4 linked regions of the Saccharomyces cerevisiae S288C genome follow. Changing the gene in region 3 together with the main gene of any one other region gives a genetic interaction. Each region holds a gene or a part of one and is shown on either strand. Other genes may lie near its edges. The genes, in order: YPS1, ALG8, YPS7 and TOH1.

What was found.
Region 1: of YPS7 (region 3) and YPS1, changing one enhances a phenotype caused by changing the other (phenotypic enhancement), as found in Saccharomyces cerevisiae (one study listed by BioGRID).
Region 2: mutations in YPS7 (region 3) and ALG8 together harm fitness more than expected from each alone (negative genetic interaction), as found in Saccharomyces cerevisiae (2 studies listed by BioGRID).
Region 4: mutations in YPS7 (region 3) and TOH1 together harm fitness more than expected from each alone (negative genetic interaction), as found in Saccharomyces cerevisiae (3 studies listed by BioGRID).

What each region holds. Positions count from the first base shown.
Region 1 is NC_001144.5:386,011-394,620, forward strand, and holds YPS1 (aspartyl protease), read right to left. Parts: upstream 2,211-8,610; coding exon 501-2,210; downstream 1-500. Other genes in the region: ESCRT-I subunit protein SRN2, read left to right, coding at 1-165; YPS3 (aspartyl protease), read right to left, coding at 2,734-4,260; YLR122C (uncharacterized protein), read right to left, coding at 4,944-5,321; YLR125W (uncharacterized protein), read left to right, coding at 7,474-7,884. UniProt on the Saccharomyces cerevisiae protein: Cleaves proteins C-terminally to mono- and paired-basic residues. Involved in the shedding of a subset of GPI-anchored plasma membrane proteins from the cell surface, including itself, GAS1 and MSB2.
Region 2 is NC_001147.6:446,736-455,043, forward strand, and holds ALG8 (dolichyl-P-Glc:Glc1Man(9)GlcNAc(2)-PP-dolichol alpha-1,3-glucosyltransferase), read right to left. Parts: upstream 6,728-8,308; coding exon 4,994-6,727; downstream 1-4,993. Other genes in the region: YNG1 (Yng1p), read right to left, coding at 1-3; ubiquinol--cytochrome-c reductase catalytic subunit CYT1, read left to right, coding at 704-1,633; MSA1 (Msa1p), read left to right, coding at 2,701-4,590; VPS5 (sorting nexin 1), read left to right, coding at 7,033-8,308; VAM10 (Vam10p), read right to left, coding at 7,134-7,478. UniProt on the Saccharomyces cerevisiae protein: Dolichyl pyrophosphate Glc1Man9GlcNAc2 alpha-1,3-glucosyltransferase that operates in the biosynthetic pathway of dolichol-linked oligosaccharides, the glycan precursors employed in protein asparagine (N)-glycosylation.
Region 3 is NC_001136.10:1,170,845-1,179,252, forward strand, and holds YPS7 (putative aspartic endopeptidase), read right to left. Parts: upstream 3,333-8,408; coding exon 1,542-3,332; downstream 1-1,541. Other genes in the region: PAL1 (Pal1p), read right to left, coding at 1-981; ATP22 (Atp22p), read right to left, coding at 5,276-7,330; SBE2 (Sbe2p), read left to right, coding at 7,822-8,408.
Region 4 is NC_001142.9:95,727-103,483, forward strand, and holds TOH1 (Toh1p), read right to left. Parts: upstream 5,169-7,757; coding exon 3,978-5,168; downstream 1-3,977. Other genes in the region: KRE9 (Kre9p), read left to right, coding at 1-196; RFA3 (Rfa3p), read right to left, coding at 435-803; CPS1 (Gly-Xaa carboxypeptidase), read left to right, coding at 2,011-3,741; ASG7 (Asg7p), read right to left, coding at 5,424-6,053; histone methyltransferase SET2, read right to left, coding at 6,501-7,757. UniProt on the Saccharomyces cerevisiae protein: Probable circularly permuted 1,3-beta-glucanase involved in cell wall modification through beta-1,3-glucan network alterations such as increased branching or remodeling.

The sequences.
Region 1 (8,610 bases), on a different chromosome or scaffold from region 3:
AAACTTGATGAGGAGAGTTCACAGCTAGAAACTACCACAAGGTCCATTGACTCAGCCGATGACCTGGATCAGTTCATCAAAAATTATCTGGACATACGAACACAATATCACTTGAGGAGAGAGAAACTGGCGACCTGGGATAAACAAGGTAATTTGAAATACTAGTTCAGCAGCTACCGCCATTATCAATATGTACGTATATAGACTATACTTTATAGATTATTCTAGATGCCAAACGAATTATTAGAATATTAAAGCCTTTGATTATAGGCCATATCCCAGGTAAATAGTATACTAGGAATGAGAAAAAAAAATGTGAATAAATGGTAACCTATTCTTAGTGGGTAAGATAAACTATTGTGAAGTAAAAATGAAGACCGCCAACGTAACAATAAAAAATTAATAATAAAAAAAAACTTTGCCCAAGCGAGAGCAACGATTTCCGCCAGAAACTCCAACTGGCTTGGAGATGTGAATGTCTAAACTTTGTGCAACGGTTTTCAGATGAATGCAAAAAGAAGAGAAATTAATGTGAGGGGTAAAGATGGAACTATATGATCACCAACATTTCTTTTACTTGATGTAGAAGTGGCGGATGCAGTACTGGTCGTCAGGTTACCGCTAAAGGAAGCAGTTTGTGAGGAATTTACAGTAAATATGTTACCACCGGTAACAATAGATGCACTTGTGGACCAAGTGTTTGTATAGCCTGGTGCCTTTACGGCGCTTGGAACAGAGGATGTAATAATTTCGATATTTTCGCTTGTGGTATTATAGCGAGCTTGTGCCATGGATATTTCAAGATTCTCCAAATCATAAACCACGTACGCGTTAGTCAAAAATGAATCACCCAAAATGGTACCTGTGTCATCACTCGTTGGGATAATACCTAAAAGACATGTAGTGCCAGTACTCAAGATAAAACTCGAAAGTGGTGCATTGATGTGAAAACCACCAAAATCGAACACTATTTCCATACTATCATCAGATGGACAGTCCAATACGTAATACCCTATCCTGGAAGAGTATTGCGCACCTAGTTCAGTAGCGATCATACTTACCACTGTTTGAGGTAAATAAGTCAAAGTAGTACCGGAATCCAACAAAGCAGGTATTTTAGTGGTAGTCAAGGTCTTGTTACTACTCCCAGAATCACTAATACCGATACCATTAATAGTGACATCAAATTGAATGGGAGAGCTAAATCCACTAGCACTCAGAGTGTTTACGATGGGGATTGTGTATAAGGTGCCGGTATATTTACTGTGGTCCACGGCTCCGAACAAAATGGTGCCATGCATAGCGTCCGAGTCGTTCAAATACAAAGAATATGTGTTGCTTTTGATAGCACCAGAATTTTTCAATACAATGGGGAAGTTGTCGTATTTATAAGCTTTTCCACTATGAGACGCAGTAGAGCCAGAATAAGTGACTTCTAATTCGGGCAAACCAATACCTAACACACCCATAGTAGAATTCGTTTCATTGGCAACGGCAAAAGACAACCCGGTAACGTTCAAGTCGCTTAAATCCAAAACATCCGTACCAAAAGTACCGGAGGCAAAAGTCCCATCACCGTAGCTAATACTGAAATAGGTGTTGTTTGATCTAAATGTAGAAGAGCCCGAAGTGGAAAATGTCCCGTATTGTTGACAGTCCATGGTGGCTTCCGAAGCAGGCACGGATTGAGTTGCCGTACCTGAACCGCCTCCTAAGCCCGTAGCAGTGGGGCCAATGGCACTGCCCGTTCCCGTCAACCAGCCAAATGGGTTTATATCATTAATCAAAGATCCGCCGCTTGACGAATCATCACGTTTGTCAATAACACGTCTCCGGCTACTACCCATACTGTTCGAAGAACAGTATGGATTATCCGAGCCCATAATCCATAGATCAGAGGAGCCTGTGTCCACCAGGACCGTTACGTTCTGTGGTGGCGTGCCCACTTCCAAGTCCACCGAATAGAAACTTTGCTGGTTGGTAATTATAATTTCTTCATAACCGTCAGCCCTCTTCAATAGGCGTACTTCCGGTTTTTTGTCGCTTCCCACATTTTCTAGCGAGTCCCCGTAAAGCTTATGAAAGGGCAACTTGACGAACTTGGAATTCGAGTCGTCGTCGCGCTTGTTTGCTGCTGGTATTATCTTACCGAGAACCTGCGATGCAAAGAGTGACGAAAGGACCGCAGATCTTACAGTTTTCAGTTTCATATGTGGTAGGTAATATTATACTATATGCTTGGTGTTCACCTTATCTTTTTATTACGCTATGTATTTTAATATACAGAAAAGCCAATTGCGTTCTTCTTAATAACCGTCCAATTGCGGAAATAGGAACAAATGCAAAAAGAAGGAAAAAAGTAAATCCTCTTTGACACCCTTTTCTTAAGTAGTCGGATTTCCCTGTTTCTCCATAAATAAGTCCACGAATTTTTTTATGAAACCTCAATTTTTTCGGACACATCAGTGAAACGAAAACTACTCATGGCGCAGTATAAAAGGAGCGAAAAGCCACTCAGTTGAGTGGACGAGGGAGGTGAGGTGGTGACAGAAAAGAGGAGGAAGGAGGCAGTGCTATGTGAGGGTGTCTTGGCTGCATGCAAGGTCTGACGATCTAATTGACGCGTCAGAACGTGTGTTTTAGGAATATTCTTATTTAAGTATGCTTTTCCTCTTGAAATCGCGCAAAGAAGGAAAGGAAAAAGTGTCTATATATAGTGTCTATTGTTTTTTTTTACGAAAAGAAAACGGAAAGGATGAGTAAGGAGGGGACTAGCAGTAAACCCAAGGTAGAGCGTATACTGGAAGCGGAGTTGGTAGCAGCCCTCTGGAGTGCCCTCTTGCTTTTATGAGTCGACTTTGCAGTAGTGGTAGAGTTTGTCTTCTTGGTGGTGGTTGACCTCGTAGTGGTGGCAGTACTGGTGCCATTGAAAGTGCGCACGGTGGTAAAAATATTACCACCGGACGTGGCGGAGGCGTAGTTAGACCAAGTGTTGTTGTAACTGGGGGCCCTTATTGCACTGGGAACGGTAGATTTGATGACTTCGACGTTCTCTTTCCCCGTGCCATACTTGGCTTGAGCTAGGGAAATCTCGTAGTTATCCAAATCGTAGACCACGTAGGCGTTTCTCAAGAAGGAATCACCAAGGATAGCGGTGGCGTTGCCCGCTTGTGGAATTATTGCCAAGACACAGGTCCCCACACTGGTCTGCATAGTAAAGTCGGATAGAGGAGCGTTGATACGGAAGCCACCGAAGTCGAAGGCCACGCTGGTTTTGTTGTCGCTCGAGGGACACGTGTACTCATAATAACCCAATGTCTTGGAATACGAGGCATTCAAGCTCTTTGCTAGCAAAGCCACTGCCTGGGAGGGCAGATATGTTAGCGTTGTGCCTGAATCGAGTAGGGCTGGGAGCTTGGTGGTGGTCAATGTGATGTTGCGCTTGTCGGTTTGCAGTCCTAAGCCCTGTAAAGTGACATCGAACGCCACCGGGTGCTGATAACCCTGCGACTTATAAAGATTAACCAACGGGATAGTGTACAGTTGGCCCTCGTACTTGCTGTGATCTACAGCGCCGAAGAGGATGCTGCCGGAGGACTGTGACTCGTCATTTAGGAAAAGAGAGTATGCGGTTGCATCGATGGCTCCAGAATGTTTTAGGAACAGGGGAAAGTTATCATACTCGTAGCTTCTCTTGTCCATAATAGCGACTTTTCCAGAATAGGTGACTTCAAGCGTGGAAAGGCCGATCCCGAGCACACCAAAGGTTGAGTTAGATTCGTTGGCCACGGCAAACGATAGACCACTGAGGTCTAATTCGTTGTACTTTAATTTATCTTGACCAAATGCACCTTCTGCATAGGTTCCGTCACCGTAAGCGGCATAAAAAGGCGAGGACTTGTTGGCTTTGAACGTGGACGACTTGGTCTTGTCGAACACGCCATACTGGTCACAGTCCATCACAGAACCGCAGTAGGGGTTTCCCTTGCCAGGAACCCATAAGTCAGCTGAGCCTGTGTCTAACAGCACAGTGAGGTTTTGTGAAGGTGTACCAATGGCTAGCTCAACAGAATAAAAGCTTTGCTCGTTAGCTAGTACAAATTTTTCATGGCCGTTCGATCTCTTGCTGAGTTCACCATTGTCGCCGTTCTTTTTTTTTGTGAAGGGAATCTTGACGTATTTCCCATCGGGAAGTACTCTACCGAATGCCGGACTAGTTAAGACTGCTAATGTAGCCACTGCCGCCAATTGAAGTTTCATTTTTCAATGCCGAGTAATTTTGCTCTATTTATCCTATATAAATTCACAAACACACAAGTTAGCGGCTACAGATATTCATATATAATATATATACGTACATATATATATTATTATGGCGTCCAGCCTTCGACCACACAAGTTTCCTTTTGAGGCTTATAGTTCTAAGTTCTTCGCTATTTTTAATTTCTTTTCCGCGAATAGTAATCCGATCGCCAATAATTTCTACTACAAAGGAAGCGCGAAAAAAATAAGAGATATTTTCGCTATTTCTTTTGCCTGTACATGGCCCGGCCCCAAATATCCGATTCTCGTTTCTGTGCCGGATTCCACTACCACGAGACTCAGAGCCCTATAAGCCAGGAGGCCAAAAAGCAATCTCCATTACCAACAATATCGCGGTAGTGAAGATTTGTATGTATATTGAATGCCAAGACAAAATGGTGGCCAATTCTGCCATTCCGTCATAAGGGATATTGAATTTTGCTTATTTCATCACCCCACGCCATTGTTTTGTCCCGCCCGGAAAAACTCTGCCAAAAAAAGAGTACATTTCTGGCCCATCTCCGCACTAATTCCCCTTTCCTTTAAAATACGCTGCTTATAGGCGTCGAATGGAGAAAAGGTAGTGAGTGATTCCTCACCCTCCACTCAGACGTTTCTGATATACAATTGGGGAAAGGGGTTCACACACAGCAAGCCGGTATGTTACAATTGTATTTAGATAAGTTTTTCGTTTGAATGCGTTGAAAATTACTTGCGCTAGCTTCAGCTGATGTGCCATGTAACGCCGTTCTATCCACGCTAACTTCAATAGACTTCAATAGAAAGCAAATAGTTATATAATTTTTCATGGACGGTCCAGAGAATGCCACAAAAGTGCGGCCATAGAATGAAGACTGTATGAAAGAGCGCCATTGTCCCCACGTGTAACTGGGGCGAAGGGCAGGAATTCTGAGAGCAAACTTTGCTTCCAGCATTATGTAAAAAATCGAAGCGCACAATCGGACGCAAACATCTGTGTAGACGTAGAGAAACATGCAGTTTTGATATAGACGATTCATGTTGATGACGAGCAAGGCAATTTCGAGATTTGACTACTGAAGAATTTCTGTTTAGGAGCCGCTTTTGCATTATCATTGCCCTATTACGAGCCCAGTTAATGTTGGTTCGCCTAGTCTTGGGATTGGGATATAGGGTTAGGACGAGTCGATCTTAGTGGTACAAAGGAACCTCTCATCATCCTGAGTCCATTGTCTGCGTTTTTTCTTGAAGCTGAATATAATGTTGTAATTTGCTCGTTCTAGCAACTTCAGCGAAGCCAGTCTTCTAATGACTCCGCTGTTCCCAGAAAGTGTGAGCACTTACATATATGAATACAGCACTATCTGGAGAAGTGGCGCGCTCTTAATTAAAATGATGCAGCGTGTTATCACATCTTGCGTTACCGGGCCTTGCAAAAATTGCTATGTTTTTCTTGTGCTTGGTATTGCTTCGTGGAGATATATATTCTCATATCAGGACGGAATTTTACAAAGTGAGAACTCTAAATGGTGTAGTAAAGAGAAGAAAAAAAAATGCTCAGCGATTTACCCTCATTACAACCACCGAGATTCACTAGGAAACGGAGCTGTCCCTCGGAATTTATTGTCAACATATCATCCAATGTTAATGTAGAATGAGTTACCGTCTGTTACTTTTGGGACGGTTTTTGCACTAAGAACAGACGAGTTTACGGTTATCCTCAACAAGCAAGCAAGTATTTGCTAATCTAGATGCCATTCCGAATCATTACTCATACGTTACTATTGAGAGATGTTTTACAATAGATGAGAAGAATACAATGTCCAGAGCTCCTGGTATGCTAGAGTGCATATTCCAGGTCTTATTCGAATCATATCATACCGTCCATTTCAACAATGGTGAAATGTGGTCCACATATATCAGAAATCTTAACATTTAGTGAGGAGAGCCAGTAGAAAAATGTGCGCAAGCGGAAAGAAGTCATTCACAGACACGTTTAACAAAACACCACCACAGCAGCTTTGTCTCTTGATTCTGATCAGTTTGCCATCGAAGAAGCAAAATTGTGGTGTTATTTTTTTCAAACAAAACTTTTTTGGCAACAGCAGTTTTCTTCTGGATATTTGTACTTTATCATCCAACCGATGAAAGCTGGTTTCCTGTCAACCTACATTTAAATGGCCCGTACTTCTTCAAAACCGCTAGATAAGCAAATTAACCCAACTTTTGAGCGTCCTAAATTCCCCTTGGCTCAGAAGACTCGTTAATATGGGAAGTTTAAGTCCTACCATATAATCAAATTGGAAGCTTTCTGTGTTCGAATGGCTATTCTAACCGCTGGGCTATTAATCAGAGGGGAAGTGAAATGACCGAGACGTATTATACGTCATGTTGACATCAACAATTTAAGGAAAAAAATAAAAAAAAGCAATGAAAAAGGGTTTTTTTAAGTTGAAGACCCTTTTCAAATATATGTTGCTTTGAATTGTATCTACCGTCTCGTTTCTTCTGCTTTACCGTTTTTTTTTGCCTTCTTTAGATATGTCTTTTATGCTTGAAAGGTCCGGCTTTAATGCATTCATCTAAACGTAGTATTCCTATTTTTGAACTGCTACCAATCCACCATGACTTTACTATGAAGGACATTATTAGTGAACAGCTTCAAAAAAATAAACTTTTCAAGTCATTAAGATATATCTTGTTGCAGCGTAAGATGTTGGTGTTCAGTGCATTCTGTACAAAAATCCGTGTAATACCAAGTCATCCTCAGTTTACAAAGCTTGCTAGTTTCCTGCAGTTTGGAATGAACCATTAAAGACGCTAATCTTCGGATAGAGATCAGCTCCTTGATACTGTATAATCCCTATCCACTTGAATTCCTGTTGCATCCCAGTTCTATAGGCATCACCTACTGCATCACCTACTTGTATAATCCTCGAGCAGGTATGCTAGCTCTGCGTCAGTCCTTGCGATACACAACTAATGGAATATCTTATGGGTCAATCAAAACCATTCTTCTAGAACGCCGAGTTTCCAGTTTTGGGATTTAAGTAATACATTAGGTGCCTGTCACGCAATCCGTCCGCTGTATTTCTCCGCATAGAGGATTTCAGTACGAGAGAGTGAAGAGTCAAACTAACGCAACGTAGTAGTGGCTTTGGACATTGAAAAGAATAGTCTAGTCTGCCAAGCATGGGAGAAATTTTAGAACTAACTAATAAGAATTTCATGAGCCACTTGAAAAAGGACATAACTTCGCAAGAATCCTTGAAAAGTAGAATTGAGGATAAAAATGGTGATGTCGCTAGCCCGAAAGAGGATAACTATCCTCTATTGAATGAAACAGCGGCATGGCCAGATGGGGTGATTACCTCTGAAGAAGGATGTTCATCTTCAGGTGAGAAAGAGAATTCAGGCTTATGTTCAGAAGAAAGTTCAGAAGAAGATCCAGAAGAAGCTGAAGAGGAATCTGCAAGGGCTTTTGGAGAGTTAGTTGCAGTCTTGCGGGACAAAGACATACCACTGAATGTATTGGACGAACCTCAGATGAAAGATTGGCTTGAAAAATACACCGGTGTTTATAGAAGCTCTTGGCATGGTTGATTATGAAGAAAATTCCATAATTTTGCGAGGTGGGAGAATACTCTTGGGAAAGTGTTGAGAACAAAAACGCCACTAAAAACAGCAGGATTATTAAAAAGTAAAAAAAAAAAATTCCTTTTCAAGCAGGCAAACAATGGGTTATTTGAATGGAGAAGTATGCTACTATTTCTGCATGTTGTGGATCTAAGGCGATGTGGGCCTAGATTCTTTCCTTTTTTTGTTTTTACCTTAATTATCTTACGTTGTTCTTTCCGTCAGTTTTACACCTGACATGGGACAAGAGAACAAATTGTGAAATAAGTTCAAGCCTCTGTTGACATTTATTGATGTATCTATTTCTTTGAGGGTTAATTAAAGATAACAAATTGCTTTCTTCCGCTAATTTGAGCCTATTGAATTTACTGGGAAATGCCAACGTGGTCAGACATCAATTCAAGAAGTTTAGTTCTCAGAGAGTGTAACTTGCCTGTTTGGTCGCTGCAGTGAAACTGCCATTAGCTCTTTAGAACAACGTTCTAACTATACGAGGACCATATTACGTAAATCAACAAACCTCAAGAATTAGTGTCATATTTTCTCGCAGATATTACTACTGACATTCAGTCAGCTATATCCATTATGCATGAGCGAAAAAAAAGTGCATACAAAAAAGCTTATTTATTGGACTTAATAAACGAAACTATGTAGTGCCGAACCTTCGGATACTGATCATTGGAGTGATTTGAT
Region 2 (8,308 bases), on a different chromosome or scaffold from region 3:
CATTGCTGTAGACGAAAAAAACTTCCTTGTAAAGCGGATGTGCTAGCGCATCATACATTTCAGTTCTATTAAGACTTTCACAGATGCTGTTGTGATGTTCTGTGAGCCAATCCCAAATGTTTGTATAAGGACGGAAATAAGACGGAGCGCCACGTGACTGAAGATTTTTTTTTTCTCGGATTTCTTGGTAATGGGCGGCCGGTATTTCCGGCGGCCAAAAAATGCGAGGATTTGGTTGGTGGAGAGGGTCGAGCGCCTTTACCCTGCGTAGATACTAAGGGGGCTCTTTCTAGTATATAAACAATTTGAATAATAACGAGGTTAGACGTCCAACTGGATCCATAGACTATCTAAGCTTTTAGTAGAGGCCATTCGTTTTCTTATTAATCATCGGTTTCACAATCTTTCTTTGTTAAGCAACATTTTATACATTTTTGTACTTTATCTTCAAATATTAAGGACAAGAAAGAAAAAGAAAAAGAATCCATATTCTATATTAGTGTAACACTATTTTTCTTAAATATTTTTTCCAGTACTCCCCCAGTTTGATAAAAAGCATTCATTGAATTTCCCCACATTTGTGATATCTTCAATTGATTAGTTTGAACTAGTTCTGAAAAATAATATTTTACAATTTGCATTTTCATTACACTATATCATCTACTATTTTTTCTCAGAAGCGGAAGTTATAACTAATTTGACAATGTTTTCAAATCTATCTAAACGTTGGGCTCAAAGGACCCTCTCGAAAAGTTTCTACTCTACCGCAACAGGTGCTGCTAGTAAATCTGGCAAGCTTACTCAAAAGCTCGTTACAGCGGGTGTTGCTGCCGCCGGTATCACCGCATCGACTTTACTCTATGCAGACTCCTTAACTGCCGAAGCTATGACCGCAGCTGAACACGGATTGCACGCCCCAGCATATGCTTGGTCCCACAATGGGCCTTTTGAAACATTTGATCATGCATCCATTAGAAGAGGTTACCAGGTTTACCGTGAAGTTTGTGCCGCCTGCCATTCTCTTGACAGAGTTGCTTGGAGAACTTTGGTTGGTGTTTCTCATACCAACGAAGAGGTTCGTAATATGGCCGAAGAATTTGAATACGATGACGAACCTGATGAACAAGGTAACCCTAAAAAGAGACCAGGTAAGTTGTCCGATTACATCCCTGGCCCATACCCAAACGAACAGGCTGCAAGAGCTGCCAATCAAGGTGCCTTGCCACCTGATCTATCTTTGATCGTGAAAGCTAGACACGGTGGTTGTGACTACATTTTCTCTTTGTTGACCGGTTATCCTGATGAACCTCCTGCTGGTGTGGCTTTACCACCAGGTTCTAATTATAACCCTTACTTCCCAGGTGGTTCCATTGCAATGGCAAGAGTCTTGTTTGATGACATGGTTGAGTACGAAGATGGTACCCCCGCAACGACATCTCAAATGGCAAAGGACGTTACCACCTTTTTAAACTGGTGTGCCGAACCTGAACATGACGAAAGAAAGAGATTGGGTTTGAAAACGGTGATAATCTTATCATCTTTGTATTTGCTATCTATCTGGGTGAAGAAGTTCAAATGGGCCGGTATCAAAACCAGAAAATTCGTTTTCAATCCACCAAAACCAAGAAAGTAGTTGACAAAAAAATGAAAACCACTATTATTTAAATTACGGAAAAAAAAAAACCAATAAACAAAAAACATAATAAAAGAAATGAAAAAAAAGAATATTAGTAGAGCATACTGAATTGTTTTCAGAAAGAGAGTGAAAGGTAACAAAAATTTACCTACTTTTCCTTTTTATTTCTCTGGTTTCGTTTCTTTTTTTTCGGCCACCCTATTTATTTTTTCACTGCTTGTAAACAACGTCTCACTTCAATAGTGTCTCCTTCATGTACTGAGATACTGCTGCAAGCGAAATATCACGAATAATAATATAAAAAAAAAAAAAAAAAAAAAAAAAGATGTTTAAATGTTAACAACCTAACAGCAATAAAAAATAAAAATAAAGGTAGAAGATTGCAAGAAAGAAACTTTACAATATTTTGTTTGGATGCCCAACACCGGCGTCTTGGTGTTCTTCTATAATATTTATTTTATTTATTTTTTATTTATATATGTACATATATATTCCTATTATCTATTAAGAAAGTAAACTTAGTGTAAATCTACCACTGTTCCAAGGCTTTGGCCATCCACCTTCTCTTTCGTTCCATTAATAATATGACACAATCGTTGAGGATGCGAGCGAGACCGTTATGGTCGATCTTTGAAGTCGCCGCGTAACGCGCTAGTATTTTTTCCTTAAAGAGGCAAACACTTATTTTTCCCTAATAGGAAATCCCTCAAATCGGTTTTTTTCCATATTAGTCCCGTTCTATTGTCTGGTTTCATACCTCTAAAATTTCTCTCGCTGTTCCATCAATTAATACAATCAAGGCACAGCCAGCAAATACTAATAATTCTCTTAATAACTGCTTCCCCTTTGCAGCACCGATAAGGGATCTTTAAGACGGTCTTGAAAATTTTTCGTTAGTTCATTTTTCATTCTCGGAAGTTTTTTTAAATTTTGAGAAGAAGAGCTGGTTGCACATTCCAAGGTGATTAAAGGGATTTGATTAAGTATATATTCACCAACCTGGGTTGTGTAGTTGAAAAGGGGAATAAAAATATCTCAAGAATACTTCGTGAAAAATATTCACTATGGATAAAAGCATGATCAAAAAAAGAGGCAGGCCTCCCATCACCAAAGATTATCCCAATCCCCTACAAAGCCCCATGGCGCATTCTTCAATGCAGGTTCAGAAGCAGGGGCCTCACAGTTTTGCCAAACCTTTGATGAAAGTGGGGCAATCTAGTCCATCCCCGAATAAAAGAAGACTCAGCATCGATCATCATCATAATTTGGCGGCAACTACGAGAAAGGGCAGATACAGGGGCGTTCTTCTTTCTACTCCCACCAAGAAATCGAGCACTAATGGCTCTACGCCGATCTCTACCCCGTCTTCGAATGACAGCTATAATAACACGGTGTTTTCTGAAACAAGGAAAACCTTTCTTCAGAGTTCGCCGCCTATCATGACGTCTTCTCCAGCTTTCCAAAAGAAAAATGACTACATGTTTCCTTCACAGGAACAATTCAAACTTTCTTTAACCATTACCGAAAGTGGGAAGGCCGTTATTGCAGGATCTTTGCCTTTCTCTCCATCGTCAAAATCGTCTCATTTAATGAACAATAATAATAAAAAGATCATGCAAAATGAAAAAATTCACAAAGGAAGCAAGAAAAATGCACCCAAGTTTGAGAAGAGACGTATTCTTTCTCTCTTAAAACAGATGAAGAATGAGAAATATTGTGATACTGATACGCTCCCCGAAGCACCTCCAGCGAAACCAAGCAGATCTGACATCATCGACACAGAATTGCCGACTATCATAGAAACTTCAGCTTCTCCAATAGGCAGTGCTAGAAACAATAATATACTGCTTTCGCAACCACCACAATCACCCCCTTCAAGCGCGCAACTTAAGCCCCCATCCACTCCAAAGAGTTCTCTACAATTCAGGATGGGATTTACTCCCAATGTTGCACTAAATTCCGTATCATTAAGTGATACTATATCCAAATCTACAAATGCTGTGGGTGCCAGCAATAATAACAATCAGAACGGTAATTCCATTAGCAATATCGCGGATGCTAATACTTTACTTACCTTGACTAATAGCCCGGGAGTTTTCTTATCACCTCGAAACAAAATGTTGCCCAAGTCGACTACTGCATCTAACGAACAACAGCAGGAATTCGTGTTTAAGTTTTCAAGTGGTGACCCGTTATTGCTTACTGACGACGCAGATGGGAATTGGCCAGAAATGCTGTTCAATGTATCTAATACGCCCAGACGTCAAAAATGTTTTAACACACCTCCTTCATGGATAAACTTTGGTTCACCTGGATTATTCAGCCCACCAAGAAGCTCTAATGTCATGGTAAATGGCACCACTGTAGCCACCGCATCGGATAGCGGCAACGTCCATAGACAATTACAAGCTCAATTGGAGGCGCAAGTGCAAGTGCAATCGCAATCCAATTCTCCTACTCAAAGGCAACAACAACAGCGTCAATTTCAAATACCCCCACCTCACATAAACATGAACTCTTCCCCGCCACAAATCAATATCGCTTCCCCACCTCATCAATCTATGTCTCGGGTGTCATCTATTTACTTCAACAAAGAAAAAACCACAACAGGGGTAGCAAATATGCTAGGTAACACCAAAAGCGAAAACTTACAGCCGCCGGCGAATTTATTTACCGCTGCCCATGGACCTTCAACTCCTAGAAATCAAGAATTTCAATTACCCACTTTGATTGAATGCACTCCATTAATCCAGCAAACCATGAATGGCTCATTAGGAACCAAATACATACCAGGTACTTCAATTTCGAACAGTGCAACTCCTAATTTACACGGGTTCCCTGTTGGAACCGGGAAAGCTCCCTCTAGCTTTGACGATTCACTAAAACAAAACCCGTACAGCAACAAACAGGATGATGCTAGAACTGCCTTGAAAAGATTAATCGATGATCAGTGAAAATAGTCATAGATTCATGAAAACGATATGAGCCAAAAGGACCATTCAATAATCATGAAGCGTTAAAAAATAGTTTACTTACCTTTTTTCCTTCTTAAAGCATTTTCCCAGAGCTGATAGATAATATATTGAAGTAGTACTTATATACCTTTCAACTGATGCATGTGAATGGAGTTGACCTTCATTCAGTTTAATGTAATGTTATTTTAATTCAAGTGTAAAACGCACAATACGTAAACGAAAAATAATGAGGAACTGGCGTGAGGGACTGCATAAATCGAAATCTAATCGTTATTCAATTAGTTAGTAGGTGAAAATGTACAATAAATATTTCTAAAATCGATTCATATATAAATAATTTTATATCACTTTTTTTTTAACGTCCTAGGGAAGCGATATTGTATCACTGCCATAGTAATTCGTCAAAATTATATAACCACGATAAGGCAAACCACGAGCTGATTATACCTAATGAACAATAGACACTATATATCATTAATCCTAAGAATTCAAATTTTTGCAAAAATGAATATCTCCACTTGACTTCATCCAATATTTGTAATACGGTGACGATTGGTAACAATGAAAAGATGTACGTTAATGCCAACCTATCCAAGAAAAAGATTCTTCTTTCTACACTTGAAGAAATCTTCGTAGTTTTTCTAAAAGCGGCAAAATAAATTATACACCAAACATAAGTGTATAATGTTTTAATGAAAAAATCTTGGCCTTTGTACAGAAGAGGATACAAGGAAACATAACCAGCTGAGGCAACTAACATAAACGGTACCAAAAGACGACGATCAAATCCAACAAGAAATGTGAACGGAATGATGACTAGCATTATAGCTTTCTCATGCACATGCCACCCGAACAAAAACGATGCCAACCCACAGAGAGTCAACGAGCCAACAAATCTTTTGAACGATGGATCAAACAAAAGTGGAAGTACTGCTAAGACCTGGTAAAATATCGTCAAAATAAACGTTAATTTTGGAGGAATTTGAGGGAGAATAACAAAAAATACGTCTTGAACTAGACCTTTACTTCCATTGTTGTTTGCCGCGAGCCTTTCATTAATTTCCTTGATATTCTGAGGGATCAGAGGAGGTTTAATAAATTTTGTAGCAAAAGTGTGGACGTACGGTAATTTCAACATTACCGTAGTGAGTATTTTATCCATAAAAGAATACAACGCCCAGAAATTTGGTGCCCAATATGCATGCGTCAGTCCTCTTGAGAATGGGAATAACCTGCTCAACACTTGCGGCATTTGATGAGCAAATGGAAGGAAACAAATAGTGAAAATTCCAACAACAACGGTAGCCAACTTCAAAAGATTTGCCCATCTTATCAGGAACAAAAAATCTTTGTAACTTTTAAACTTGAAATTGTTGACATTGAGAACGTATGCTCTCAATAAAAACACGAAATAACATGGCGCCAAATATAAAAATATATGCTTGAAACATATGGCTGTAGTATACAGAACAGCGCACAAGATGTATCTCTTATTCTTGGCGGCGACAATGGAGCCTATTAGAATCGCAAAAAGAAAACCATTATATTGGAAGTGAATGTGATCTATTATTAAAAACCCGGGTGATAGTACAATGCTAGAAGCAACCACAAAACTTTGAGATCTTTCACTTAGCTTTGTAGTATTAATGTATATTTGAAGGATGACAAATAGAAGAATTTCGCTGAAGATGACAGTGAGTCGTTGGAAAACGATTGTTGGCAAACCGAACTTTCCGATCTCCACTATATCCAAACAACCGTCATCACGTACAGATTTAGGAACAAATTGCGATAAAAACCATTCAAAATAAGCAAAAAATGGCGGATAATCCAATGTCCATTGACTAGTGTGCTCATAATACCATTCGCTGATGGGCAATTTATTGGTGATTGCCAGCCAATTTCTATGAACGTCAAAATCTGTACTGAAGTAGTCAGGAATCAATAGTAATTTTAAAAACAATGTGCTTATCCAGAAATTCCATAAGGAGTAGCGCTTGGATCCCTCACCTTTTTCGGTCGCGGCAGTCTTCAAAACCTTTTTTGGCTCGTCATTTTTTTTTAACTTTGCCTTCTTTGTCACAGCCATATTTTGCCTCGAACGATCACCTTTCATCGTAGGCTATCCAATAGACGTCAAATGCCTTGCTGACCACTACAGAACTGTAATGAACTTCAGCTATTTTTAACGTATGTTATTCTATAATTCTATACCACTATTGTCGTTTTGAAAAATGAAATTTCACTTTTCGGAAGTTGTCCGCTAAGAACAACTAAGTGATAACAGTAAATTTTAAAAATGCTTTGAAAAATGGGTTAAGCAAAGGTTATTTACTATAACTACGTAGTGAACGAAACCATATATCTCTTAATTTGCAGCAGGGATTTTATAAACTTTCATACATCCTGCAATAACAAGCCATGGACTACGAGGATAATCTAGAAGCACCTGTTTGGGACGAACTAAATCATGAGGGAGATAAAACTCAGAGCCTCGTTTCAAATTCAATTGAATCAATTGGTCAAATATCTACAAATGAAGAAAGAAAAGACAATGAGCTTTTAGAGACCACAGCTTCATTTGCGGACAAGATAGACTTGGATAGTGCGCCAGAATGGAAAGACCCTGGTTTGTCGGTGGCTGGTAATCCGCAACTAGAGGAGCATGACAATTCCAAAGCTGACGATCTTATTAATTCTTTAGCCCCTGAACAGGATCCGATTGCTGATCTCAAGAATAGCACTACACAATTTATTGCAACAAGAGAATCCGGTGGCGCATTGTTCACTGGAAACGCCAACTCTCCCTTAGTTTTTGACGATACGATATACGATGCTAACACTTCACCAAATACTTCAAAAAGCATCTCTGGAAGAAGATCCGGCAAACCACGAATTCTGTTTGATTCCGCCAGAGCTCAAAGAAACTCCAAACGCAACCATTCTCTGAAAGCGAAGAGAACAACTGCTTCCGATGATACCATCAAAACACCCTTTACTGATCCCTTAAAGAAAGCTGAAAAAGAGAATGAATTTGTTGAAGAGCCATTGGACGATAGGAATGAAAGGAGAGAAAACAATGAGGGCAAGTTCACAGCTTCTGTTGAAAAAAATATCCTTGAGCAAGTGGACAGGCCTTTATACAATCTTCCTCAGACAGGTGCTAATATTTCAAGTCCTGCTGAGGTCGAGGAAAACTCAGAAAAGTTTGGAAAAACCAAGATTGGCTCAAAGGTGCCACCAACCGAAAAGGCTGTGGCTTTCAAAGTTGAAGTTAAAGACCCGGTCAAAGTAGGAGAGCTAACATCCATTCATGTGGAGTATACTGTAATCAGTGAATCATCATTACTTGAGCTAAAATATGCACAGGTAAGCAGGCGTTACAGAGATTTCAGGTGGCTATATCGTCAATTGCAGAACAACCATTGGGGTAAAGTAATACCACCACCACCAGAGAAGCAATCAGTAGGCAGTTTTAAGGAAAATTTCATTGAAAATAGAAGATTTCAAATGGAAAGCATGTTAAAAAAAATATGTCAAGATCCGGTTCTACAAAAGGACAAAGATTTTCTACTCTTTTTGACAAGTGATGACTTTAGTTCAGAGTCTAAAAAAAGGGCATTTTTGACTGGATCTGGCGCTATTAATGATAGCAACGATCTGTCAGAAGTCCGGATAAGTGAGATACAACTACTAG
Region 3 (8,408 bases):
TATTGCGTCCTGCGTATCACCACCTCTCCTTAGAGTCTGCGAACTGTACTGGTATATATCAGAATCATCTGTATCATCTCTCCCAAAAACCTCATCCAGGGCAGACTTCTTGGTTGAAGCGCCACCGATGGTACTGTTTGGACCATCGACCGGAAATGCTAAAACAGGCGCAGCTTTGTTATTTTTATTTCTATGAGGTGTTACTGCATCGAATGGGCCGTCATGATGAAATGAGCCACCGAACAATCCAGTTACATCTAACTTATCGATAGTATCGACGTTCTTAGGAACAATAACCTTACTTTTTCTCTTTCCCTTCTTAGAAGGCGTTGAAGATGAGGAAGCTTCACGGTGATGGTGGGATGAAGATCTGCGTGAAATATATGTGCCGCTGTTGCTATGTTCGCGGTGAGAAGAAGGACGAGAAACCTTTTCCTTTGGATATGCACGCCTTGATCCATTGGTTGAAGTGATCTCTTCGTATGAGGGTGGTAGGTCAGTGTTTTCTCTTGTGTTACCTACTGTACTTACGTCACTTTCCTCCAAATATCTTTGCCTTAATTGTTCTTTTTCTTCTTTAGCAGTGGGATGATTTTTATTCCTTGAAACAGGTGGGGGAGACCTTCTAAAATCGGTTGCAGAACTCACATCGTCTAGGAAAGGATTCTTTGAGGAAAGAGGTCTCGAAGGTGGTGATAAACTACCACTACTAAAGCTCTCCAAACCAGAATAAAAAGCACCCTGCTGATCTGCGTTTCGCTGGGGTTCATCCTCTGGAATGTTTGGGAATGATAATTGTGAAGAAGTTCTTGTGTTCAATTGTGGCATATCAAATGAATTGGTACGAGATTGGTTTTTCGCCCACTCCTGAAACTGGGAGTCATTTTTATACTGATTAATACTTGAATCAACTGTGGCATTTCTAAACGGGTTATTAACAGAAAATGGCCTACTAGAGGTACTACTGTTTCTATTCTCCATGCTAAATCTTGCGTATATGTATCAATTTTTCTAAAAATGGAAAATGCTGGCAAAGTGTAATGGAACCTACAATGTATCAACAATTAAGCAGTCGAAGATTATGGTAAAATGACGTTACGTGTTCGAAGGGATAGGTCTGCAAAACACTTAAATTCCTCGAATAAAAATAACAATAAAAAGAGCGAGGTAGATCGGATATATTTCGGATTCTACACACTATAAAATACAAATTAGAAATTTTACAGAGTTACCTCCCAAGAAAGAGTATCTTCATTTTCTAGTGAATAACCTATCGCCAGTCACCATGATCTGCTGTTGAACCAACCTCGAGGCGGGAAAAAAAACAAAAAAAAAAGTAACGCGATTTACGCTCCGTGCACGACGATTCTTTGAGATGGCTGCCAATGGTTGATCACAAGTACTAGCTTCTACACAACTGGATAAGAATGACGCATATATACTTTTAAGTATGTTGTTATTAAATCTGCTATATAATGATGTTATACGTGCATTGGTCAAGGAGAAAAAGGTTTTATGTTATGAACTTTTGTTAAAACCATTCAAAGAACAATAAGTATCGAGAATATCGAAAGTAGTAGCAAGGAAGCTATACGAGTTACATGTCCAGCTGGATCTTTGTTAAATGTATAAGGACTGCTCAATCGAACGCCTGCTCCCGAAGCACTGCTGGTTCTATTAGTTGAATTTGACCACTCTTCTGAGGCTGACACAGAAAAGCTGTCGAATTGAGTACTGGATGGTCTAGCACTTGTGCTTGCTCTTGAAGTATCATAGAATGACCGGCCCGCACCTGTAATCACACCGTTTGAGTATGCTGCTGTCAGTTGACCTGGGACAGTGAACATATAGCCTGACCTATAGGATGGATAAAGAGTCAAGTTTCTTGTATTACTACTATTCATCACTTTTGCGTAAGGAATGTAACCAGATTTGATCTTCTTGATGATAGTGGACGCGGTAGTTTCATTTGTCTCTTCAGTAACTGCGTCATCTTCAACCTTCTTTGCCTGTGCAATGGCTATAGTGTTATCCTCTAAGTCCATTGCCATATATATATTTTTTATGAAGGCTTCTCCGAGTATGTTTACTCCAGTATTTGTATTAGCGTATAGTGTTAGAAAACAAGCTTCCTGTCCAGAACTGAAAAACATTGAAGAATTGGTGGATGTATCGTAAGTAGATGATAATAAATCACGTAGGGGTATTTCAATTGTCAATTCTCGAAGCCTGAAACCCAAGGAGACACCCATATCTGCTATAGAACATTGGACTAGCCACCTATCTAGTGATTCCACATAAGTGGCCGCAATTTGAACGGCAATCTGAATAATGGTACTAGTTGGCAGGTAACTGACCGAAGAAGTTGAATCAAGTAAGGCTGGGCTCAGAAAGTCCTTCGAAGTCATATTCAAACTTTGTCCGCTGTTAGACACAATATAAATAGGGCCTAATGGCACAATTGGGTACCCAACACTAACAGCATTACTCACTGGGTCAACGTAAGGAATTAAGTCAAATTTTCCCAGTGTACCGGTAAACAGCGAAGGATCCACCCCTCCAAGAAGTAGCTTCCCACAATTAGATATTGGATCTCTATATGTTTTGTACGTGGAAGTGTCTCCAGCCAACCACAGTGAATATGACGAACTTTCAATGATATCTGCATCTTTCAATAAGGATAGAAAATAAGACTGTTCTGTGTATTGTGAGCTATCGATAGCATTGCCTGGGTTTGTGACCTTCCCGCTTAAACCTAACAAGCCTGAAGTCTTAAAGTTCGAGGACTGAATATCAAAGAAGGAAACGTTTGAAATGGATAGGCTCCCCGAGTTAAATTGTACGTTATCTCGAGTTACCATTAAATCGGTTATCAAAGCGGTCGAGGAATTTTCTGAGGAAACATTTGTAAAATTCATATCGTCTGTCACCAAAGTACAGTTAACAGCTCTACCATCAATGAAAGAAATCTCATATATTTGGCCAGGAGAAACAGGAACAGATGATGTAGAGTCATTCATGAGGTAGCTGGGATGCTTATGATATACACCGGAGTATTCGTTATGACTTTCGCTTGTTCCGGAAACCAGATTTATGTACGGTTGGATAATATCCACTAGCAAACGTTGGCGTTGACCGGGAGTGCCAAATGTGCTATTAACATAGTAGTTTCCTCTACCATCTTTACCCACGGCTAGTACAGGAAACGGCTCCTCCGTTGACGAAGAGGTTCCAGACTTTGCTGTAGTTGTTGTATTTGCAGTACTAGCCGTTGCAAACTCTAACTGAAAAGTTGATATGAGCCACAGATACCATAAAATTAGGCATGTCATAGCAAAAATCAACGGCAAATAAAGCAAGCACGCAGTTACGATACGTTCAAAGATCTTTCCAAGTTCTGTATCCTTCTAGAACGATTAGTCTAATGCAACTGATATGTCCAACATTCTAAATATAACTTATTTTGGTATTAGCTGCATCATTCTACCATGATGAGCTGCGGCGTTCAATATCTCATTTTTTTTTGTTCGGGGTAACGAGGTTCATTGTTGCAAATAGCACGACCAAACGAGCGGTATGATACAAAGCACTGCAAGTCATAGCTGAGGTAAAAAAAAAAAGAATGAAGATCTCATTGTTTGGGTTAAATTACTTTCAAGAGCCTCTTTTTTAGGCTCGGTTGGTTAAAAGAGCAAGAACCGAAACACTAGTGCATCAATTTTTATAACAATTTTGTAATTATGTTGATAATTGGCAGTAAAGTTACAAAATACACACTAATTAAAATATTGAACACTTACAATATAAAGCTGATATCAAAATAAATATCGAACAATAAATACAACTCTCTCCAATATCAATATACTGCCGTCGTTATTTAAAAAATTAGCCCACCTGGGAACATTATAGAAAGAGATTTGTTTTTTGGTCTGGCAATGTGTCATAATCAAGCTCTTTGCAATATACATCCCCAACTCATATATTTGTATACAGGAAGAAGAATCGACCACCATCTATCGACTAGCATATTATCATATACGGTGTAAAAAGATGACATAAAAGATGAGAAACAGGGTAATCCCAACAATTGTCTCAATATTTACCTATTTCTCACATTGTCACCGCTCGAAAGTGCATTTTATATACGTTCTTTTGTGACGACTACTTTTGGCGGGAATCTTAGCGCCTTAAATGCAGTGAAAGATTACTCTTTTGAGTTATTGCCTGAATTTTGTCTGCAAAATTGTTATTATTCAGGAATTTAGAATAATTCAACTCTGGAGGCCTGCGCTGTACTACGGGCTCAAGTAATACCGGAGTGTCTCGACAATCCTAATATAAACAGTCTTAGGGAAGTAACCAGTTGTCAAAACGGTTTATCAGATTAATTCACGGAATGTTACTTATCCTATATATTATATAAAATATGGATCATACTAAATGGTGGAAGCGCGGAACCTTGGATCTAAACTGTTGGAATAAGAATCCACTATCGTCTATCAACTAATAGTTGTACTATCAATATATTATCATATACGGTGTTAAGATGATGACATAAGTTATGAGAAGCTGTCATCGAAGTTAGAGGAAGCTGAAGTGCAAGGATTGATAATGTAATAGGATAATGAAACATATAAAACGGAATGAGGAATAATCGTAATATTAGTATGTAGAAATATAGATTCCATTTAGAGGATTCCAATATCATCGAGGAGAACTTCTAGTATATTCTGTACACCTAATATTATAGCCTTTATCAACAATGGAATCCCAACAAGTCTCTCAAAATACACCCATTTCTCATAAACCAATTGTTCAGGCATTTATACGTTTAGATAGCCCAGCTATAGAAGGCGGAGTTTTACCTCATGTTGCTCAATCTGTTCGTTTTCTTAGGTTTCATATGTGTTCTATGAACGTTCAGGATAATGTATTGTCATGCTGACGTATCCCATTCTGAGATGTAACGTCTGTACAAAACAAAGCTTCAGTAGCTCAGTAGGAAGAGCGTCAGTCTCATAATCTGAAGGTCGAGAGTTCGAACCTCCCCTGGAGCATTTTTGCCGAGCACGGTACTTTTTTTTATTCTCAGTAAATGAAATCCAAGGGCTCATTTATTTGAGAAAGTAAATAAGGTATTAGAGGTAATAAAGTAACCATGGGCCAAGAAGACATATTCATAAACTTATGAAAAAACTTTGTAGGTATTAATAACTTATGGGTAAATTACTATCTATGAATGAATATTTACTATTTACTAGTGCTCATCTGGATATTAATTTAGACTTTTCAACGTCTCTCTTATAATATTTGTACATTTATTAACATCATCATCATTAAATCTAGGCTTGCCATCTTCTTCGAACATATCTTCGTCAGTAAACAGGGTGCTATCAGTAGGTTCTTTAATGTTATTATTTTCCACCAATTCCGTCAGTAAAGTTTCGTCAAAGTTTTTGGGAAACGGCCAGCCTTGGTCTTTTATTATCTGTATCAAAGCCATATGCCTGATTTCAAAGCCCCCGAAGAGTATCTTATTGTACCAGGAGCGTGCTCCTTTTTCGTCTCTCATTTTGACATAATGCATTACCATTGCAGAACAAAATTTAAACGTTAAAGGCACCCCATTTTTATGCATCACCTGTAGCAATTCTGATAGTTCAGCCTGCGTTAATGTATGATTTTTATAGGCTACTATGGAAAAGGGACATAGCGTGGTAGTTAAAACCACTTTTTTGGCGAAAGGTTGAGAATAAAAATCCAGAAGAACATTGTAGGCCAGCCTTGGTTCACGAGCTTGGAATCTAATATAATTTAGGAAAACATTGAGGATTCCGGTATCATTTCTCCAATACCTGTATTTATGAGCTTCCTCGGAAAGAAAACTCTTGTACTTGTAATATAAATCAAGAAGACAATTCTTGAATTGACCACTTTCCAGTGAAACAGAACTCGAAGATAAAAGGCTTCTATACAGTTCAGTTAAAATTGGAACAGTCACTGGTGATCCTATTCGCATTGTGTTCGGTAGAATATTATTTTTGTTCTTCAGCTCTCTTGCTAACGTAGGAGCTGTCAAAGTCGTTGATTTTGAATGATAGAGCCACCCCCAAATCCCTAGGGCATTCAGAATATTAGCAGACGCCTTTGAGCTGTATGATGAGAGGAGATATTTACACACCAATTTCGGGTCACGAAAGGCTTGAAAAGATGCAATTAATTCACCCATTAAAAACTCCTTGAACAATTTATATTTCATCAGTGGGCTGCTTTGTAAGCAGGAAATTACATTGAAAAGCTCCTCCTGCCTATTAGATATTCGGAGCAGATTCAAGTAGTGGTGAATGGGAAAATTCAATATGTGTTCGTTTCCATCAATGTGATTAAGCAATCCTGAGCTTACAATGAATTTCAGTTCCTCTTGAAAGGTTTTGATGAATAACTCAACATTTCCACTTTTCAAAAGGTAATAAAGTAAGGTATTGTTGAACTTGACATAACGCAGGTTCTTTTGCTTTGCTCCATCTTTACCAGAATAACAGTGCTGTTCCAACTTCTGTAGTAGAGCTTGAATAAATACTTTAATGAACCTAAAATTTTTCGCCTTAACAAGGCCATTTACTAGAGCGATTAAGCTGTCAAATGTATGCAACTTCAGAACTTTTTCCATTATAAATTTTATGTTTGTCTCATCATGCAAAAATATTTGGAACGTGGCTAACTGCCTCTCCATCTCAGTTCCTTTTATCAGCCTATTGGTAAATCTCGTACAGTAGTTAGAAGTAAAGAGAAGAACATCACTTTTCAAAAGAAAAAGATAGTGATTAAAAGATTCTGATTTTGGAATATGATACCAGAACCATCTGTGGACCTCACCTGGTAGATAAAATCCAATTTTTCTTGCCACCTCTGGGTATAACTCGTGTTGATGCAAAATGATATCATATAAAAGTTTCTTCTTTTCATTTTCTGAGCAATTATTTATATGCAGGGCATTTCGTAGAGATTCAAAAAAAGAGGCGTATTCAGTTACTCCAAAAGTCTCACTTAATACAGTTTTCAATTGTCGGAGCTCGTATAAACGCTTCTGAACATTTTTCGAAGATCCGCTCTTCCTAGAACATGGCACCTGTCGTTCAAAATCGCCAAACTGCAAAGGTTCTGAACGATTTGATTTAATTTTCAATGGACAGTTTTTCGTAGATAAATGGCGCAGATTTGTAATAGGTAGAATTGTGTATGTCCCTGCGCTACCCATATGTTTAAACAGCGGTGAAGTGACCATTTGAGCCAAAGGCTGGGAATAGACACGGCATATACATTTTAACATGCCAATAAGAACATTAAAGTGAACGCTTGGAAGATTTGAAAGCCCATTCTTGCCAGTACGCCAATAAAGTGTGTCGCGCAGAATAGATCTTCATGTAATTCCTTTTTCCCTTTTATGCAATCTATAATGTTAATCAGCGTAGATCACTATATACGCTTTTTTTTTTTTTTTTCAGCTCCGATTAGAGAGCAAAAGAGATGTAACATCGATCCTGCTATAATTAGAATACAAGTGTTGATCTTTAATTGTACTGTTTCTGCGAAAGCTATCGAGCATTTGGCTGTATTCCACTGTCCATTGTATTTTTAACTCTCCTTTTTATCATTCTGAAACATAGAGCTGTTTTGACAAAATTCAGTTTTTTCTCAATTAGTGCTTTCATTCATACGTTCGTTACAAGCTTTGAATTTTAACTTTATTTTCGGGCTTCCACCTTTGCTTCATTATTTTACTTCAGCTCTTTAGCTTTCTGTGACATTCAATTTTATTGTATGACAGCACGTCGTTTGATTAATATAGTTCCTAATACGTCTAAGCTAGACCCTTTAAAGGAGGAGGACTCAACGCATCTGAAACAAAATCAACCTAAGAAGTTTTCCACAAAGGAGTTGATGCTTTCAGAATATACCGAACGCAAAAGTTGCAGCCTTCCGTTGTCTAAATCCCGATCAGGCAGTAGTGCATCCAGTAGCACTACAGGTTCGAACGGAAAGAATATTGGAACAAGACGCCCTAGCTCCAACCTAGATTTCAATTTCGCTAGCCAAGATGTTGTTAAAAATGTATTAGGTAATAATAATCCACACGTACCCACAGCGAAGTGCATTAGGCCAATATCAGATGATTCTATAGGTACATCGAGCACAGAGATATTTTCTTCATCGCACTCAAATACGACATCTGATTCTTTATGTACATCAGATATAAGCTCAGAAGAGGGTGAAATAGCAAACAGTAAGATGGAGGATAACTGCTTCTTCAAAAGTATGAGAGAAGCTGACCATAGAAGCAATATTACGCCCTTAAAGAAAAGCCGACCGGGATCAATACTACAGAAAACACGTACAGCAAGTAGCGC
Region 4 (7,757 bases), on a different chromosome or scaffold from region 3:
TGCTGTGACATATTACTCTACCTTTGGGTCATTGCCAGAGCAAGCAACTACGATAACTCCTGGCTGGTCTTATACGATATCATCGGGAGTAAACTACGCTACTCCTGCATCTATGCCTTCAGATAATGGTGGTTGGTACAAACCATCCAAGAGATTGTCTTTGTCTGCAAGGAAAATCAACATGAGAAAAGTATGAAAAATAGACGGCTTCTACTATCATCATTACAGTAAGGGTTGAAGTCAGGAAAGGTTAAAAATAAAATAAATATCAAAAAGTTTTTAGCGGAAGGCGTTAAGGCAGCAAGTACACATTCATTTATCTATCTATACATCTATAAACACAACTACAATTTTTTTAGAAATGGAATTTATTATATGAAGGGAAGACATATAGAGGCAACAGTACATAAAGGTAAGAATAAAAGCGATTTTAGCTAGTATATTTCTGGGTATTTCTTACATAGTCTCTGTAAAGCAACCACACCGTTTAAGCTTAAATCTTCGTTCTCCTTGAATTTGCATAGTACAGCGTCTAGAATCAAAAATCCTAGCTCGCCGTCATCATTGTTCCTGCAAACAAACTCATACCACGAGTCGATCTCAAATGTTTTATTCATAGATACACGAATATTGTTCAACGTAATCATTTCAACCTCGCTGCCGTTTTTCGATGATATGGTTGGCGATTGTAAAATCAACTGAGATTCAGTGGGTTGTGATTTGATTTGCGCTATTATCCTAAACACAGGAGCATTGACGTTGGAGATTTCTGTGGGGTCAACTCTTGGTGTTTCGCTGGCCATTTTTACTTGTGTTACTGGTAGACGATGTTCTACAAGAATGGTGAAGGGTGTGTTATATTGCTCTTTATTTAAACACGAACGAAAAAAATATCGCGTATTGCCACATTTGGCGCGTCAATATTAAAGAACGAAGGCATTATATAGGGCGACTTGTCATGATTCCAACCATGGCATGGGCGGTGGATGCTTCTCAGCAGTGGCCCATTACGTTAGTCAACGACTGTTGGCTGTCATCTGTTCTTGTTGGGTGCTTGCAGCTGCATCGACAAACATGGATGGATGCCTCTACATATATATATATATTTATGTAATGGACCTCTGAATATTTTACTATGTAACTGACTATAGGAGATACCACTGGTGCTGTAGTACAATTTAGCACTTGCAAGCGTTGACACAGTTGTTGCGAAGGCCTCTTTCTTGTAGCACTTAATTGGAGTATGACTGCCATCATGTAGGGAAATTATGAAAGCATAGGATCAATCTTGACGTTGCAAAGAAGAAGAGACTTGCTGTTCCCTATTGATCACTTACCGTTATTGGAGTTCATATGGTACTTTTTTCATAATTTTACGAGTAATCCCTAGTGGTAGTTAATATTCAGCAAATAAAATACCAGTTTGAGACCAAAGGTAAGATAAGAGTTTACTGATAAAGACAAAGAATTGGGATGACCTAGTCCAAGGGATTATAGTACCTTCGCGAGTATTGCATATAAGCTTTTAGCGATACACAAACAAAGCGACACCGGGATTTGCATATCGCTTGTTCCTACGACGTTGTCAGTTCCATAACCTCTGATTTCCCATACGGATTTTGAAAATCAGCTACGAATAGATAGTCTTTTTCTATTTTCAGTAAATGTGTCATTGAAAAAAGTTTCTTTAGAACGACGCTTTTTGCAGGCTACTAGAAACACCCACTTCTAGTAGCTTTACGTGACGAATTGAACCGCGTGATCTTGTGCACTGTTATCCTAAATGCTCAATGCTCAGAACATCTTCTTGTTATCTCAGCCTCGCCACCCTTATCTTATCATAGCGGCCTTTTATTTTCCCCTTTGGGCAAAATACGATACAGCCTTCCAAGGTCGGGCAAGAAAGTTTATGACATATAAAAGAAACGGGTACCCCAAATACGTCTCTTCCCATTGTAAAACTAATCCTGCATCATCACATTAAGGAATCATTCATCTAACAATTACATTATGATCGCCTTACCAGTAGAGAAGGCCCCTAGAAAGTCCCTATGGCAAAGGCACAGAGCCTTTATTAGTGGAATAGTTGCCCTTATTATCATCGGCACCTTCTTCCTCACTTCGGGTCTCCACCCAGCACCACCTCATGAGGCAAAGCGTCCACACCATGGAAAAGGTCCCATGCACTCACCCAAATGTGAGAAGATTGAACCATTAAGTCCATCATTCAAACATTCCGTCGACACAATTCTTCATGACCCTGCCTTTAGAAACAGCTCCATTGAGAAACTGTCCAATGCTGTTAGAATCCCCACTGTAGTCCAAGACAAAAACCCCAACCCCGCAGATGATCCGGATTTCTATAAGCATTTTTATGAACTACACGACTATTTTGAGAAGACTTTCCCTAATATTCACAAGCATTTGAAATTGGAGAAAGTCAATGAGCTGGGTCTTCTATACACATGGGAAGGTTCTGATCCTGATCTAAAACCATTATTGTTAATGGCCCATCAAGATGTTGTACCTGTAAACAACGAAACTTTATCATCCTGGAAGTTCCCTCCATTTTCTGGTCACTATGATCCAGAAACAGATTTTGTTTGGGGGCGTGGTTCTAACGATTGTAAGAACTTGTTAATTGCCGAGTTTGAAGCTATCGAACAACTGTTGATAGATGGATTCAAGCCCAACAGAACTATTGTTATGTCGCTTGGTTTTGATGAAGAAGCAAGCGGCACCCTCGGTGCTGCCAGCTTAGCCTCATTTCTTCACGAAAGATATGGTGATGATGGTATTTACAGTATCATTGACGAGGGTGAAGGTATCATGGAAGTCGACAAGGATGTCTTTGTTGCCACTCCAATCAACGCTGAAAAAGGCTATGTCGACTTCGAAGTCAGTATTCTAGGCCATGGTGGTCATTCCTCTGTCCCACCTGATCATACCACAATCGGTATCGCTTCAGAACTGATTACTGAATTTGAAGCCAACCCATTTGACTACGAATTTGAGTTTGACAATCCAATCTATGGATTGTTGACATGTGCTGCTGAACATTCTAAATCTTTAAGTAAGGATGTGAAGAAGACAATTTTGGGCGCACCATTCTGTCCTAGAAGGAAGGACAAGCTTGTTGAGTACATTTCCAACCAATCACATTTGCGCAGCTTAATAAGAACAACACAAGCTGTTGATATCATCAATGGTGGTGTTAAAGCTAATGCTCTGCCCGAAACTACCAGATTCTTGATCAATCACAGAATTAATTTACATTCTTCTGTGGCTGAAGTCTTTGAAAGAAACATAGAATATGCGAAAAAGATTGCTGAGAAGTATGGCTATGGTTTATCTAAGAACGGTGACGATTACATTATCCCTGAAACCGAGTTAGGTCACATTGACATTACTCTCTTGAGAGAATTGGAACCAGCACCACTTTCGCCAAGTTCAGGCCCTGTTTGGGACATTTTGGCAGGTACTATTCAAGATGTTTTTGAAAACGGTGTTCTACAAAACAACGAAGAGTTCTATGTGACTACTGGTTTATTCTCTGGTAACACCGATACTAAATACTACTGGAATTTGTCCAAGAACATTTATAGGTTTGTTGGCTCTATCATTGATATTGATTTACTGAAGACATTGCATTCGGTTAATGAACACGTGGATGTCCCAGGTCATTTATCTGCCATTGCCTTTGTTTACGAGTATATCGTTAATGTTAACGAATACGCTTAAGCGCAATGATTGAATAGTCAAAGATTTTTTTTTTTTAATTTTTTTTTTTTAATTTTTTTTTTTTTTCATAGAACTTTTTATTTAAATAAATCACGTCTATATATGTATCAGTATAACGTAAAAAAAAAAACACCGTCAGTTAAACAAAACATAAATAAAAAAAAAAAGAAGTGTCAAATCAAGTGTCAAATCAAAATTTAAATGATGATGATAATATGACCATACAATGACTTAAATCAAATCAAAACCACTTGCGTAAAGGCAGTGAATATGGCCAAAATATAATACCATACACCGTTTTGCATCTTCGTTAAAGCAACACCATTCGACTTCGAGGTGGTCGAAGGCGCAGTAGCAGAAATGCTCATCAATTGAGAAGAATAGGTTTCGTTTTCTGGAATTGCAGCCAATAAATCGTTAACAGTATCAGCAGAAACAGTTCCATTGAATGGAGTGGCATCAGATATGAAAGAAACGACATTTCCACTAGAATCGAAAACAACACCACCTTTCATCGTTCCAGTAGTATTTCTTGTTATGTATCCGTAAGATTGGATACCAGTACCCAAATCCTCGATACCTTGGAAAGTGTGGAAAGTAGAATAGAGATGGTTTTTCTCCGTACCATTCATAGCTTCAAAAATATCGTATTCCCCACATCCACTAGCCCAACATGAACAGTTGGCATTGGTTGGATATTGAGAAGTCCTTGCAATGTGATCGTTTAGCAACCAAATAGCAGGCAAGTCATAGTACCCAATAGAGCTGCTATTTTTCTCAGTTTCAGTAGGCATTTCGAATTCAAACAAAAACATCTTTGTTGTACCTCCGTACCCATAGTAAGCTGGAATGCCACTACGGTAAACCCCACAACCCTTATCATAACCTGATTTTGGACATGAGACATTCGAATAGATTATGTATTCTTGATCTGAAGAAATCAAAGTGCCATCTGCCAAAACGGTAGCTTCACTGGCGCTGCCAGTACCGTTAGAACTAGCGTAGGACAAAGCATTTCCTAAACAAGGGGAAGCTTCACCTCCATGATTTAGAAAGGTAACGTTATCAGCGGTTTTGGAACTGGACTCATAGTAGGCAAGACGGTTCCAATCAGAAGAACTTCTGCTGTTGTTGACGGTAAATCCAGGGGATGTGTAAAAAGCAAATTGTTTCAACTTCAATGGTCCACGGAAATGAACGGATAAATAGTCTGCTAGTGGAGCGTTCTTACCACTAAACCATACTCTGTCACCCACTTCGCAAGTACACGATTCATTGTTGGTGATATCTTTAAACTTATTCACATCTACGTAGGAGCCTGTAAAACCAACATTAGTGAAATCCAACTTTTGGTACGACTGAGGTCCACTGGCAGCGACTGTGTGCAACATAAACATGCACACGGAAAGGACTATACTCTGTAACATTTGTCTTATTTAAGCTTGTAATGTTTGCACTTGAGTATGTTCTATTATGGCTGCTTCCTTCGATAAGGATTGTTTCTCGAGGATTTTCAGGTTTATAAATAACCTAAGCTCGGCAAAATAGACAAAAGAAAAGGGCGGAGCCAAGACTTTGAAAAAAAAAAATGGAAAAAGGAACCCTTGCAGATACAGCAAAAATGGGAAATGGAGGCTGTGGAAAAGAAAGAGGCTGATATCATTTTCTGTCTTTAGATCTACCTAACGGCTTTTCTTACATAGGAGAACTACAAATATTATGAGTATAGAATCGATGAGGAGGCCAAGCAAAGACCGTAAATTCCAGTCGCGGAAGGTCTTACGTAATAAATCGTGCGACTCCAGCACATCGTGGGCTACCTTCTTCAAAAACGCGTAACGATATTTTTTCAAGGTGTCATTCTCGTCCTCGACTTGTTCCGTGTTCACGTTTAGGAAAGACGACGGCATACCGTCTTTGCTCTCGTAATATTCTTCGCTGTTGCTATCACTGAAATTCTGCATGACGCGAATCTCTTGGAGGACTTCTTCCTTTATGGGTATCACCGTTCTTTTAGTTATGGCTTCATATTCATAAAATCCTGGGTATTCGTCTTCTTGCAAGTCGTGGAATTCCAATTCATGTGGTTGCCAATACTGTAAGAACCACCAGGCTAAAAGATTCACCAACCAGAAAACGGGGCACAAGATTCCAAAAACAAAAAACCTTGGCAGCCAAGGTTGGACAGGCACACTCATTTTACATGATTTGCATTGGCAACAGTATTTTTTCATCCAAGGGTTCTCATCGTTCTCGAAGGGCGCGGCTAGATGTTTTGTTTTATGCTCAATACTTGATGCTAAAGTAGTCATGTTTCTTGTCGTCATTCTTTGAATTTTTGTAGTCCTATGTACAAGCACAATATAAATGACAGACTAGTCAACGACGCTGACCCTTTATATGTTCCCCGTATATTCCTTGTTTTCATTGCAGTTAACATGTAAATTTCCCGATGCGGTAATTACGTTTCAAAGTCATTTCAACACTTCTATTGACAGCAAAAAAATAAAGACACTTGAAACGCACGATTTTTTCAAGAATAATATCTGTCGAGAAGATGTGTCACATTACCTATCATTACAGTGCTACTGATAGCCCACTAATGCGGATATTTAAATATATGCACCAAAAATGTATAAAGAAATAAACGGTAAAGACAAAAAAAATTACTTATTACAAATCGCAATTACAATTAAAGTACAAGACTTCCTTTGGGACAGAAAACGTGAAACAAGCCCCAAATATGCATGTCTGGTTAATTATGATGATGTTGAAGGTGGAGGAGAAGACATCCTTGTTGATGCTGATGATAATGCCAACGCCTTTTTTTGCTTCTTCTTGAGGATAATCTTATCCATGTATGAATTTATGAATTCTTTAACTTTATGCCTTTTTCCTTTGGTTAAGTCATCAGGCGGCGCTCTTGAAGAATCTTTTTTAAGTTCCTTTGTAGTTAGGATTTTCACGATGTCTTTAGCACATTGTTTAATGTTTTCATGATCAAATTGTTTACTTTGTGGGTTTTTTTTTATTAAGTTGGGTACAAAAGATGCAAAGAATTTATTCCAGTTGTGCTCTAGTCTTTGGGACTGGGAGACCGTTTTTCTTTTCAACCGCTTAGCCTCTTTTGCTTCCACTAGTTTTTTGGCCTCTTCCTTTTGTAACTCCTTCTGTTTGTTGGCCTCCGCTATAATATCCTCCAAAACGCTTTTTCTTTCATTCTCAAGCTTTAGCTTTTGCTTCAGGCTTTCCAATTCTTCTTGTTTGGCTCTTTCTAGCGCAATTCTTTCGTATTCCAGTCTTTTTTGTTTCTTCCTCTCATATTCTTCGTCACTCAGCTTATGTTTCTTAGAGTCTAAAGCGCCAGGCGTTTTTGGTATTCCACTGCTACTCGGAGAATTTACTTGTGTATTTGACCTTGAACTAAAGACCTTAGATGATCCCGAAGGTGGATAGTGTAGTTTCGTTTTCTGTTCTGCATTATAATACAATGGGCGACCGTTTTCGTGAATGATCTCCCAGCCTGGAGGTAATCTCACCCTTCTCAAATCTATCATTTTGCTGGCTGCGACGTTTATGTCTTTCTTCGTTATCCTTTTATATGTTTCAAATTTCGACCATTTCTCCAATAACTCATCGCAGTTTGGCTTTAAAAATGGAAACTTTGCAGGGAGAGTTTTTACTACATTATCAATTTGTGACGACTCAATACCGTTTCGAGTTGTCTTTGGTAATTCCAACAAAAAATCTAAAATTCCCTTTATAAACTTTATATCATCTTCTTCAGTCTCGTTTCCTTTTCCATCTACCTGAGGTTGTTCCGTGATAAACAATTTAAGCATTTTGCTAAAACAGGTGTAACCGTGTAGTTTGATAGCCTGATGACGAAGAGAGTCATCATCGATAGTAAAAAGTCTCTTCAAGAGTTTGGATGCAATTATCTTATTATCTTGCTGTAGTAATACACTCATGATCTTCGTCACATCCACTGGGCTGTCGATAGGTTGGACTTCCAA